Sus scrofa: one gene and its partners. The protein of the gene in region 2 purifies or fractionates together with the protein of the main gene of each other region. This does not show direct contact. Links are inferred from orthologs where the notes say so. Each region holds a gene or a part of one and is shown on either strand. Other genes may lie near its edges. The genes, in order: RAP1GDS1, RHOC and DAAM1.

Region 1 (4,370 bases), on a different chromosome or scaffold from region 2:
CATTATTTTTCTAAAAACTTCTCTCCATCCTCTGAATCTATATGATACGTAAAGGTCTTCCGTGCCACTCATACTTTATTTCTATTAATGTTATCTGTGTATGTATCATTCCTGTTAAGATTGTAAGCAACCTGAAAAACGAATGTCTTCTTGATCTTTCTCCTCCCACGGTAGGTATACAAGAAATATTAAGTACACACTGAATTTTAAGTATATATATATATAAATGTATACATAAAAATAATAGACATGGTCCATAAGGTTACATTGGAAGTTTCCTTCACTTTCTTCTGGAGAAAAATCACTGCCATAACAATATCTTCTTTAAAAATCACCATATTTACTTATGAAAATGACATTAGCGATTTTTTTGACCCCTATCGCTTATCAGTATACCCTTATGTATATAGGAATTGCTATAATAACTTCCTTGGCTTAGAATATAATATTGTCTTTCAATGTTTCAATTTTACATTATTGTATATGTCTACTGATGGTAAACAAAACCACCTTACCATTGAAAAGAGCAGTGTAGGAAGAAATAGCTTGCCTAGTGGCTGTTCCAAAACCCACACATCTGAGACGACACAACTTTTTTTTTTTTTTTTTGAGAGAAAGAGAAGAGCAGTCACAGTATAATTATACTTCTCTGTACCCAGTTCCTCCACACCTCCACCACCTGCACAAAATCTATCAACCCAAATGTCTGTTCAGGGCCCAGACTTTCAGGTTCCCCAGTTGAAAATAATAGATAGGTTTCCAGTTCAATAATTAATTTACCAAAGATTTACTGAATACCTACTATGTAGAAAGCACTGTGGAGGACCCTGAAATTAAAACGACGTAATTTTCACCTTCTAGAATGCATGATTAAATGCACAATACAAACACATAAACAACTCTGTTATAAAGCAGATTATGTAAGGTCTAAAAAGCTTCCAACAAGGTACAAACAGAATGGTATGAGGAGAGAGGGTGATTTAATCCGAGTATCTGAGAAGCTTCAAATGAGAGATGGATTTCTATTTGGACTCTCTTTGAAATCAAGCAAAGATTTTCGGGTTAATTATTTTACTTGTGGCCTGTAATTAAGTAGAAAACCTTTGCAATGTTCAAAGGAAAGACACAAGGTATCCAATAATCTGAACTGATATTTATTTAAAATTCTACTCCCAGAGAAATTTATATAAATAATAAATGGGCCACCAAACTTTTACAGAAATATGTTCAGCATACCTACAGCACATTAAAAAGGAAAAAACTGAACAACAGAAAACAAAATTCAGTGTCCTAGATTTATACCTCCTCTTGCAAAAATGACCTCTTCCGCCAAAGGTCTGAATCAGAGCTTGGAGCATTTGCTCTTCGAGTGAGCTCCATAGACACCATTTCTAGATTTAGATATTTCCTTGAAGATTTTGAGTTGCCATGACCTAACTCTGGACGTGTTGGGCACCAGACTGACAGATAAAAGGTCCACACTCATCTCAAGCTTAAAATAACTTGCAAGGAAGGGGTGGGGAAAGTCTGAGTTGACAGGTGCCAAAGGAGCAAATTTTAAAAAGAAGAAAGAAACTATGACAGGAATGGAAGCAAACTGGGGAACAGGCAGAAGCATGGCATTCCAAACCGCTACAATTTTTAAAAATGTTTCGTCTTTTAATCACATTACCGTAGCCACCAGACGTTTTTGCAATTACTGAACTTAACAATGAAGCAACATATTATGAAAAAGTAGGATTAATTATATGTAGCTTTGTAAAACATCTCATCCCAACTCTTAAATATCTCATCCCAAACTCTTAAGATTAATCACAAACACGAAGGAACTAAAATCGCATTATATAGATTCCGACAAGGGAAGCTGGGAAAGCATTACTAGTATGTAAGTTCGGTACCATGTTACAGACAGGCAGGGTGCAGTTTCGTGCTACAGGAGACAGGCGAAGGAGCCAAGAAAATGCGTTGAACACCGGAATAGTGCACACTGTAGTCACCCAACACGAATTCAACAGCTAGCGGCTCTATCCATCCTGCCTCACGTTCCTCGTGGCCTCTGACAAGTCATCCTTTCAACCTATGAGACTGTCCGCTCTCCCCCACCGAAAATAATTTCCGTGCAGGTTGTAAAATCACCCCCACAAACTACTTGCTCCCACTTCCCCGCCTCGGGATGAGCAGTCCCCAAGATGGGGAAAGGTCGCCCAGACAGGGAAGTTACGTGAAGTGGTCTTTCTAGCGGTCGGACCCGAGTCTCCAGCCCAGCAGCCGCGAGGGGAAGGAAGCCGGCGGCCTCTGAAGAAACCGGGATGGGGCAGCGGATGCGAGCCCGCGGGGCAGGCTCCGTGGTGCCCGGGCACCGGCTCGGGCAGGAAGAATGGAGGAGGGGAGGCGAGGCAGCGAGGTGCCCGAGAGCCGGGCGGCGGTCCGGCCCCGCGGCCCGACCCCACCCCGCACTCTGGACCCTCCCAGCCCTGGGACCCGGCGTGCGTTCCGCGTGCGCCGACTCTCCCCGGAGAAACAGCCACTGCCTCACCCCGGTGGACTGGAGAAATCCGGCAACTTTGCGCGAGAAATGCTTCCCACCCTGCACCACGCCGAGAAAGAGAAATATGTCAGGCGATGACGGGGGAGGAAGGATGACTTACCCATGTTCCTCCCAGAGGGTGAGGAGCCGGCAGGTCGAGGCGAAGGTCTCCGGTGCGGGCGGCGCGGCGCTGTGTCCTCCCTCTACCTCTGTCTCTCCCGCAACCAGGGAGGGACCCGCGGGGGGCGGCCGCCGGGGAGGAGCAGCTGGTGCTGCCGCTGCTGCTGCCGCTGCTGCTGCTGCTGCAGGCAGCGCGGCCGCGGCGGGGACGAGCGGCGGGGGGCGGGGCGGGGTAGGGCGGGGCGGGCGCAGCCTGCGGCGGGCGCAGCTCGGAGCGGGCAGGCGGCGGAGGCGCCGAGCCGGCCGGAGGAGCGCCCGCCCCGACGCGCACTCCGGGAGCGCCCCGCCCTCCCCGCCGAGCATGCTCAGTGCCTCCCTTTTTTTTCCCCCCGGGGCAAGTCAATCTGAGCGTGCGGGTGGGCGTGTGTTTGCGGGCCGGCTGCAGCCGCCGCGGAGGAGCTTGATGGCTGCCGCCGGAGGGGCGGAGGGTAGGCCCTGGGCAGGCTGGGTACCGGGACGCTGTGCCCGAACTATTACCTTCCAGGTCGCTACCCCGACCTGGCCAACCCACACCCGGAAAACGGGCCAGTCTTCATTACCCGACAGGCCGGGTGCACAGGCGGGAATTTCCCGAAGGAGGAGACCCTGGGCCGCCTCAGACCCGGGAGGGTGGTCGGGAAGCAAGGCAGTCGTCCTGAAACGGGGCCGGCATGGACATGCTGGCGATGAGGCCAGCGCCTCTGGAGACAGATATCTGAGGACGCTTGTTTTCAGAGCAGCCGTGTGGGCCCGCTGGGCACAGAGAAGGGAGGTGGCCGCGGGAAGGGCGCTTAACATTAGCGGGCACATCAGTGGGACAGTTAAGTCTGTCCTGGCTGCGGCCAGTTTAAAAGAGGTTCCCGGCAGCGAGAGGAGTGACCGCCCCGGGATTTCTTCGGAGCGTATCGTTCTCCTTCCTAGGGGAGCGCGGCCTTCCTTTCCCCGGAGGACACCCGAAAAGCCATGTCACAAGGGTGCCCTGGCCGTCGGGCGCCACCCTCCTCGGATGTGCCCATCTTTGCCCCGCTCCCTTTAAACGCGGCGGGAACAGGTTGCCAAGGCAGGAAACCAAAAGTCCGCCCAGTTGGCTGCGGCCCCATCGGGTCGAACGCCGGAGTTTCCTTGGACCACGGGGCCAGCGCCTGCTCCCCGCACCTCCCCAGCGGCGGGGACAACCTGAGCTGGGCGCTCCCTTTTGAGGGCACCCTCCCAACTGGGCATGCGCGCGAGACAGAGGCTGGTCTTGCGTCCTCCGCCCTGCGGGAGGAGGCTGGGGGAAACCTTCCCGTTCCCTGCACTCTGGTCGCGCCCCGACTCTCGGTGGTTGGGGTGAGGAGTCAGGTCGGTCTCCCCAGGCGGCAGCAACTACGGTCTAGGCGGGGAAAGGGCGCAGGCAGTAGCACAGCCTGTAGGAGGGAGATGCTGAATAGCTAAATGGAAATTTCTCTTTTTCAACTTTTACTCTTTCAGCCCAATGTTGAGAAAAGGTGCTCCCTGCCCTTCATCAGCGGCCCTCTTACAGTCAGATCCGTTTCCATTTATATGACTGATACTACAAAGCACACAAGTCAAAATAGGCCTTGTAATTTGTTGAGCAGGGCAGATTTTCTAAAACAAAAATGAAACAAAAAGGAGGAGAGGTTTGGAAAAACAAGAAAATACAATGTAACTATAGATGTCAAAG
Region 2 (4,018 bases):
GCCCCAGGCACGCCCCAGGCACACCCCCGCACGCCCTGCCACCCAGGTGTCCTCTCTGAAATCCTGGTCCTTTAGGTTCACTGGGCACCTACTGAGCACCTACTACATGCAAGGGATAGTCCTCATCCCAGCCACACAACATAAGGTGAGTTCAACCCTGAGACAATGTGTTTGGTCTTTGTGCAGTGTGAACTGCCATTGTGAGCACCACTGTTTTATTTCATCTTCACTGAAACTCTTTGAAAGAGGCCCTACTGTTATTCCCATTTTATAGTTGGGGTGGGGTCAGGGCTCAAGCCCAGAGACCAAGGGACTGGGCCCAGGTTAGAGCGCATGTGTAAAGAACCAGGAGGCTGGATTTCCAGGGACGGCAGTTGCACTTCCTCACTTCACTGCTTTCAGCCGGGAGAGGGGAGCAAGGGTGTGGGTCGGGGGAGAGGAGGGCCATCCCAGGCTCCTAAGTGCTGGGGGCGGGGTGCCGAGGCGCGATGAGCAGAGGCTCCTGGCCTTTACCTGCTTGCCGTCCACCTCGATGTCTGCGATGTAGTTCTCAAAGACGGTGGGGACGTAGACCTCTGGGAACTGATCCTTGCTGAAGACGATGAGGAGACAGGTCTTCCCACAGGCCCCGTCCCCCACAATCACTAGCTTCTTTCGGATGGCAGCCATGGCTGGGGCTAGCAAAGAAGAGGCAGTGGGGATGTTGGGGAAAGCCACGAAGTCCAAAAACACGTCTCTAGGGCCCCCCAAGACCTCCCTGGAAACCACGGAAGGAAGGGAGGGAGAGGGGCTTTTTGCTCAGGCACCTTCTTGCCAAGAACCAATTGTTGAAGCAACTGAGCTTGAAATTCTTAATCTCAGGGTCAGAGACAGACCTGCCCCCATGGGTTAGAACACAGAAGTGGGAGGTGGAAGAACCACCCACTTGGGAGCCAGAAAACATGAGTTCTAATCTAATCCACTCACCAAGTGTGGGCCCCTGGACACCTAGACAGGTGTCTGAAGCAGCAGCTTTTATTTGCTCTACATAGCAGGGTATCAAGTCAGACTTATTTGTTACCAGGATCTTGATACTTTTCAAATTTAATTATCTCAAATGTCCAATCTAGAACACACTGTCCCTCACTCAGCACAGTCATGCGTGCCCAGAGAAAAACCAAGAGTCCCCACCAATATGGGTGGGTAGGGAAGGAATATTTACCACGCCCCTGGGTGCCAGGCACTATGGGGGGGCGCACTGACAAAAATCACCTCCCTCAGCCCCCAGAAGCCTGGAAGGTTGAAAGTGGGCTTCCCATTTTGACAAACTAGGAAAGTGTGGCTCAGAAGGTTTAAGACAATGTGTATGGAGCCGTGGCAGTGATGGCAGTCAAAGCAGGGCAGGAGACACTAGTCTGCTGCCTTCTCTACATATCACCCCAGAGGTGGGAAGGAGAGCAGACGGATGGAGGGCAGTGGCAGCAGCCAGCCGGTGTCCCTGGCCCACCCCATCCTGGTCCCCAGAGCCCCAAGGCACACAAAGGAGGCTCAGTCTGGGCAGTGCCCACAGCCCACATTCGGGCAGCCTGCCTTCCTCCCCCCTTCCTCCTGGGCCTGGCAGCAACACTGGGTCACTCAGCCCCAGGCAGGGGACAATGACCACACTGTAGGGAGCCACACATCTACCACAGCAGAGGGACTGAGAATAATCCACTAGGGAATCACCTCCACCCACTCCCTGGAACAGCCCCTTCCTCCCCTCTGTCCAGCTCACCCCAAGGCCCTGCCCACCCCTCCCTGTGACTCAGGGCAAGGAGTCAGCTTCCCGGGGTTTCCAGTGTCTCCCGCCCCCGACACACACCAAAGAGCATCTGCACAGTTCATCACACCTTCCTAGCTTCCCTGCCCCTGAGCTGAGCCTCACTTCCTCCTTCCCTGGGGAGAGGAGCCGACCTCCAGCCGGCTGGAGTTCCCAGGCTGAGGCCTGGGAGGAAGAGAGGGCGGGCTCTGGAGCTGAGATGAAGTCGAGGCTGCTGGGGGGGGCGGCTAGAGTCAGTGCTGGGAGGAGCCCCAAAAAAGAGACAAATGAGTCCCAGCACCAACCAGGCAGGGAGCAGTTAAGAAAGGAGGAGATGGTAACCCGATCTCTGCCCCAAACCTGGCTTTTTCTCTCAGTCCCACATCCTGTCGTTCTAGACTCAACTCCTTCACTCTCCCCACACCAGCATCACTTCACACCCCTGCCTTGGTCTGTCTTTTAAGAGGCGAATATCCCAGCCCAAGACAAGTTTTCTTCCACAGTGGGATCCTGGGTGGCCTCCCTCCCCTACACAAACACACACACACACACACACACAACTGGGATGAGGGGAAGTGGATATGAGTCAGAGGGAATTTATAGGAGTTGAGAGTGCACAGCCACTCTCCCCACCACAACAGGGGCTCCCCCTGACACCCCAAAAGACAAACAAGAAGGCATTCACCCTGCCAGCAGATCCCTTCCAAAAATGGAAACCATCCTTCAGAAAAGGGGGGAGTGTCCCTGGAAACTCTACCCAGGTGACCAAAACTCGCTTACCTGCTCCCACAAGTTCCATTGGTCCAGCGGTGGGAAAACAGGCTGGGGTGGCCCCAACCCGGGCAGGGCCCTGCTGATGGAGGGCTGGAGGGCATTCACCACTGGGGTGACTGCCAGTTGCTTAGGCATGAATGTGCCACTGCCCACCCCCAGCAGGACAGTTTAGGTGGCACCAGATGGTGGGGGGCAGAGGCCAGAACTCCGGGGCAAGAGCATGCATTAAATTACCTGGAGCCCCCAGCTCAATCATAAGACTTTCCCTTCAAGCTCAGTAGAGTAGTTGGCCCAGGCCACCAGGCCCAAGGCCAAGATGGCAAGGACAACAGCTCCCTGTGAGAGGCGGCCCCTGAAGAACTGCCCCACTGACCCTCAGAGAGGCAACCAAACCCCACACTGGACTGGAATGGAACCTGAACTCCTGGGGCCTTCCTTGGGACTAAACAGCTGCCCTCTCCTCCATCCTGTAGATTCCCAGATGAACCAGGGGCTGCAGTACCCTGCTGGCCACCCCTGAGGTCCAGGGAAGAAATCAGATACGTCCTCCTGAACGTGAAAACTAGAAGTGATGGCAGGACTCAGCCTTGGGGCCTCCAGCCCAAACCCCCAGGACACTCTCTAGCCGGGTTGGGAAGTGTGAAGGCGGGTGGGGGGGTTGGAAGGGAGGAGATTCTTGAACTCACACACACACGCACGAGCTGGATCCTTCCCAATCTCCCCTACCTCCCACTCCAGGCCGACTCCAGAAACCATCTAGGGCGACGGCCAGACCCCCGGAACAGTGGCCGCCCCCACGGTCACACCCAGCCCCTATTCCCGCCACTCCACCAGCCCGGCGAGGGGAATTCCCTCCTCCATCCGGACTCGGACCGGGACCCACACCCCAGCCCCGGTCCACAGCGGGCCGCCGGGCCTGGAAACTAGAGCGTCTGGCCTGGGGCTTCCTCGCAGAGACCCAAGTTGCCCCATTTCCCCTCGCCCGGCCGGGCAGGTTCCGGGAAGTCGGGAGGGGAAGGCAAGGGACTCCGGCTTGGACACCAAGAGACGACAGGCCCTGCGGGGCAATTCCCGGGGCGCCTCACGGCGGCCCAGGAGGGCAGGGAGGGGCCGAGCCCGGCCGACCCCCGCGCCGCCCAGGCGCCGCGTCCAAGGGGAGGGCAGGCGGCCCGTACTCGGGCCAAAGCCCCTCCTCCCCGGCCGGCGCCCCGAGCTCCGGCCAAGCGGAGAAGGGGGAAAGTGCTCTGCCGGGGACGAGTTCCCAGGACAACCCCGCCGCCCCCAGCCCTAACCCGAGGTACCTTCCGCTCCACCGCTCCCAGCTGCGCGGCCGGTGCCGGAGGCAGACTGACCCGAGGGGCACCGCCCCGCCCTCCTTCTTCGCCGCGGCGGGAGGGGCGACTCGCGGGAGGGGCGGGCCCGCAGGGGGAGGGGCGGGCCGGGCGGCCCTAGGCTCCGCCCGCCCCC
Region 3 (3,590 bases), on a different chromosome or scaffold from region 2:
CAGAACCTTCTTGTGGCCCCCGGGAACCAGGCACACAGCGCCCAAGATTTCCAGCACGGCTACCTTCGTTTTAATGTTCTCTGTACTCAGACTCTGAGCAATTACATTAATACTCTCAGAATGAGCCAGGACGTGAGCCCGACCTTGAGAGTTGTTCATGAGTGCCTTTATACATCCAATGAGAGAGGTATGTATTCGAGACTCCGAGGTCTCGTAGTCCATGGTCTTTAAAAAGTTGAGAATACATGACAGGCCATCCAAGTCGATGAATCTGGTTACAAACCTGTCATAAAAAGAAGGATGAAATGTACCAGACTTAAGTCTCTTTGGAATTAAAAAAAATTTTTTTATAGTTGAATTACAATGTTGTGTCAATTTCTGCTGTACAGCATGGTGACCCAGTCATATATATACATATGTATATACACAAACACATTGTTTTTCTCATTATCTTCTATTATGTTCTATCGCGAGTGACTGGATACACTTCTCTTTGGAATCTTTTAATAGCTCTTAATGGAAAAGTTTCAGGGCAGGAGTAGGCAGGAGAAAGTAAGAAGATGTAGCTCTGAAAGTACCAAAAGAAACACCAGATCCTTTAACCCACTGTGCCGGGCAGGGGATTGAACCAGCGTCCTGGTGTTTCAGAGATGCCACCCATCCCGTTTCACCACAACAGGAATTTCGCTGATGAAGTTTTCTTAATTGGGCTCTTCCTTGGCACAGACCTAATGGTCAGTCTAACCAGAAGTGTGAAAAAAATTTCCATTTGAATTAATAAAATCTTAACTGATATAATCAATTAACATATCTTATAACCACAGAACATCAGGAACGAGAAGACATTGAGAATATCCACCTGAGGTTAAAGTCATCTGCTGATCTTGTGTTATTATAGCATCCAGTCCCCACGTACTTTTATGTGTTGGCCACTGACCAAAGGCTGCCCCATATCCATGAAAGTCAGAGGGCATCCTTAAACTCTACGATAATAACTTGCCAAATTATATTTCCTTAAGGTTTACAGCAAAAACATTCTTTTGTATGACCTGATACATGGCATCCCAATATATAAAGCAATACTTTATTACTGTGCCCTAATCTTATTAATATTTACATTACTTACTTATTGTAAAGTCAATCAATAAGAATAATTCATATTGCACATCTGCAGGTTAAGCCTCTGAAAAGTTCAGAAGTAACATAACCTACTGATGAAACCACTCCAGAATTTCCAAACTTATTTAGCCTTGGATGCTCATTAACATCTGAGAATTCAGAACACACATACAGAAGGAAACACTGTTAAGACAGGCTAGAAAACTTATGTTATACAACTGTATATAATTTTTGAGGAATCAGTGGATTTTTCTTAGCATTTTACAAACATAGTGAATCTTTATTTTCCAGCCATCACATCGACCACATGATCTAGATACAGCCAAGCTTCATTCATAGCACTTGTGCTAATAAAATGTACCTTCAAGCACCCCCATCTCCCACCAAAACTTAGAGGCATTAGTGGAAAATGAAGGTGTGAGAGGTAAAAGTAGAAGCTGATTGCCCATCCCTCTCTTTCTTTTTTCTTTTTCTTTTTAGGGCCGCACCTGCAATATATGGAAGTTCCCAGGCTAAGGGTAGAATCAGAGCTGCAGCTGCCAGCCACAGCCATGCCAGATCAGAGCCACAACCTATTCCACTTGGATCCTTAACCCACTGAGTGAGGCCAGGGATAAAACAAGCATCCTCATGGATACTATGTCAGGTTCTTAACCTGCTGAGCCACAATGGGAACTCCATTAGTTTGCCCATCTATTTCTTTTATTACAGTTTTATTCAGATATAATTCACATGCCATAAAATTCATACTTTCAAATGTACAATTCGGTGGCTTTTAGTTAATTGAACCATGGATGAAATACTTTAATTATTGAACATTCAATGAATTGTCTTCAATTAAAAGATATGCAGACTTAAGCCATTAAATGGCTAAAATTAAAAAAAAAAAAAAGAGAGAGAGAGAGACTAAGAAGCATTGGTAGAGATGGTATAGATGGAGGGAATGTAAAATGGTGCAACCACTTTGGAAAACCCCTGGGCAGTTCCTCAGTGTTAAACATAGTGTTGCCACATGACCCAGCAATTCTACTCCTGATATACAGGGAAGTGAAAGCTGTGCAACACTGTCACTATCTGATTTTAGAATACTCGAATCACCCCCAAAAGACCATTTCCCTCTCTCTCTGGTTCTCTGTATGGATTGGCTTTTTATGGATATTTCATATAAATGAAATCACATAATAAGTGGTTCTTCGTGTCTGGCTTTTTTCACTTTGCATGATTACTTTCAAGGCTCATCTGTGTTGGAGCATATATCAGTATTCCATTCCTTTTAATGGCCGAAAAATATTCCATTGTGTGGCTATATTGCATTTTACTTATCAATTCATCAATTGATAGAATTTAGGGGTTTCCAAATTCTCGCTACTATAAATAATAGTGCCATACACATACAAGGTTTTAGGGGACATATTTTCACTTCCCTTGGCTATACATCAAGGAGTAGAATTACTGGGTCACATGACAGCACTATGTTTAACACTGAGAACTGCCTAACCATCTTCCAAAGTGGTCACACCATTTTACATTCCCAACACCTATACCATCTGCACCAATGCTTCTTAGTTTCTCTCTCTTTAATTTTAGCCATTTAATGGCTTAAGTCTGCATACCTTTTACCAAAGATAAACAATTTATTGAATGTTCAATAATTAAAGTATTTCATCCATGGTTCAATTACATGTTTTTAAAACTTCCTCAAAAGTTTGGCTAGTGTTAAAAAAAAAAAAAGACAAGAGAAGGAAGAAAAAAAGAAGGGAGGAAGACCACAAAAAAAAAAAGAAAAGAAAAAGAGAAGAGACAAGTAGTACTTGCAACCCAATAAAAAATCACCTCATTGGTTTCGTCCTTAATGCTGTCTTCAAACTCTCAATAGTTTTACTTCTCTCTTCTTCCTCTTCCTTCTCTAAAGCCAGCAGAGATTTTCTCTATGCAGAGAAAACAAAGTTACTTTTGAATTTCTCTGTTTTAATTATGGTACAAATAAGACAAGCCCACAGATTACAGGCTACTATCACTTTTAATACATATAATCAATAAGACTACAACTAAGATTTACTATAAGCCAAAAGGTAGAGCAAAAGCTTCAAGAATTCCACAAATTCATTCTATTGCAGATTAGTCCTTTAGAATTTAGGTAATGCTTTAAGGAAATGTTGAGAAATCTTAGAAGAGATTAAGTTATCCAAACACTTATATAACCATTCCATAACTACATTCTGATGAAGATATTACTATTTCCATTTGATAGAAGATCAGACCTGCAGTTAAATGTAACATTCTGGCAACTGAAGCTAATAACATTATCACATGATCAAATACAGTCAAGCAGCAATTTTCCCATGCTATTGCTCCCATCCCTCAGCAAAAAAAAAAAAAAAAAAAGGAATCTTTTATACTTTTTCTTACATCAAATTATTTTTTAAGAAGAATAATTAAACTGGACCTGATATAAAGATAGACAATTCCTC

Evidence for each region.
Region 1: the proteins of RHOC (region 2) and RAP1GDS1 purify together in Homo sapiens (co-immunoprecipitation; 3 studies listed by BioGRID and IntAct, counting the BioPlex papers as one, with this or other methods). This does not show direct contact. The link is inferred for Sus scrofa from reciprocal best matches to the Homo sapiens genes RHOC and RAP1GDS1.
Region 3: the proteins of RHOC (region 2) and DAAM1 purify together in Homo sapiens (affinity purification with mass spectrometry; 3 studies listed by BioGRID and IntAct, counting the BioPlex papers as one, with this or other methods). This does not show direct contact. The link is inferred for Sus scrofa from reciprocal best matches to the Homo sapiens genes RHOC and DAAM1.

What each region holds. Positions count from the first base shown.
Region 1 is NC_010450.4:122,004,535-122,008,904, forward strand, and holds the start of RAP1GDS1 (rap1 GTPase-GDP dissociation stimulator 1), read right to left. Parts: upstream 2,876-4,370; 5' UTR 2,653-2,875; coding exon 2,649-2,652; intron 1-2,648. UniProt on the Homo sapiens protein: Acts as a GEF (guanine nucleotide exchange factor) for the Rho family of small GTP-binding proteins (G proteins) that stimulates the dissociation of GDP to enable subsequent binding of GTP.
Region 2 is NC_010446.5:107,731,689-107,735,706, reverse strand, and holds the start of RHOC (rho-related GTP-binding protein RhoC), read right to left. Parts: upstream 2,806-4,018; 5' UTR 2,577-2,805; coding exon 2,558-2,576; intron 678-2,557; coding exon 514-677; intron 1-513. UniProt on the Homo sapiens protein: Regulates a signal transduction pathway linking plasma membrane receptors to the assembly of focal adhesions and actin stress fibers.
Region 3 is NC_010443.5:188,460,750-188,464,339, reverse strand, and holds part of DAAM1 (disheveled-associated activator of morphogenesis 1), read right to left. Parts: intron 3,048-3,590; coding exon 2,953-3,047; intron 284-2,952; coding exon 1-283. UniProt on the Homo sapiens protein: Binds to disheveled (Dvl) and Rho, and mediates Wnt-induced Dvl-Rho complex formation. May play a role as a scaffolding protein to recruit Rho-GDP and Rho-GEF, thereby enhancing Rho-GTP formation. Can direct nucleation and elongation of new actin filaments.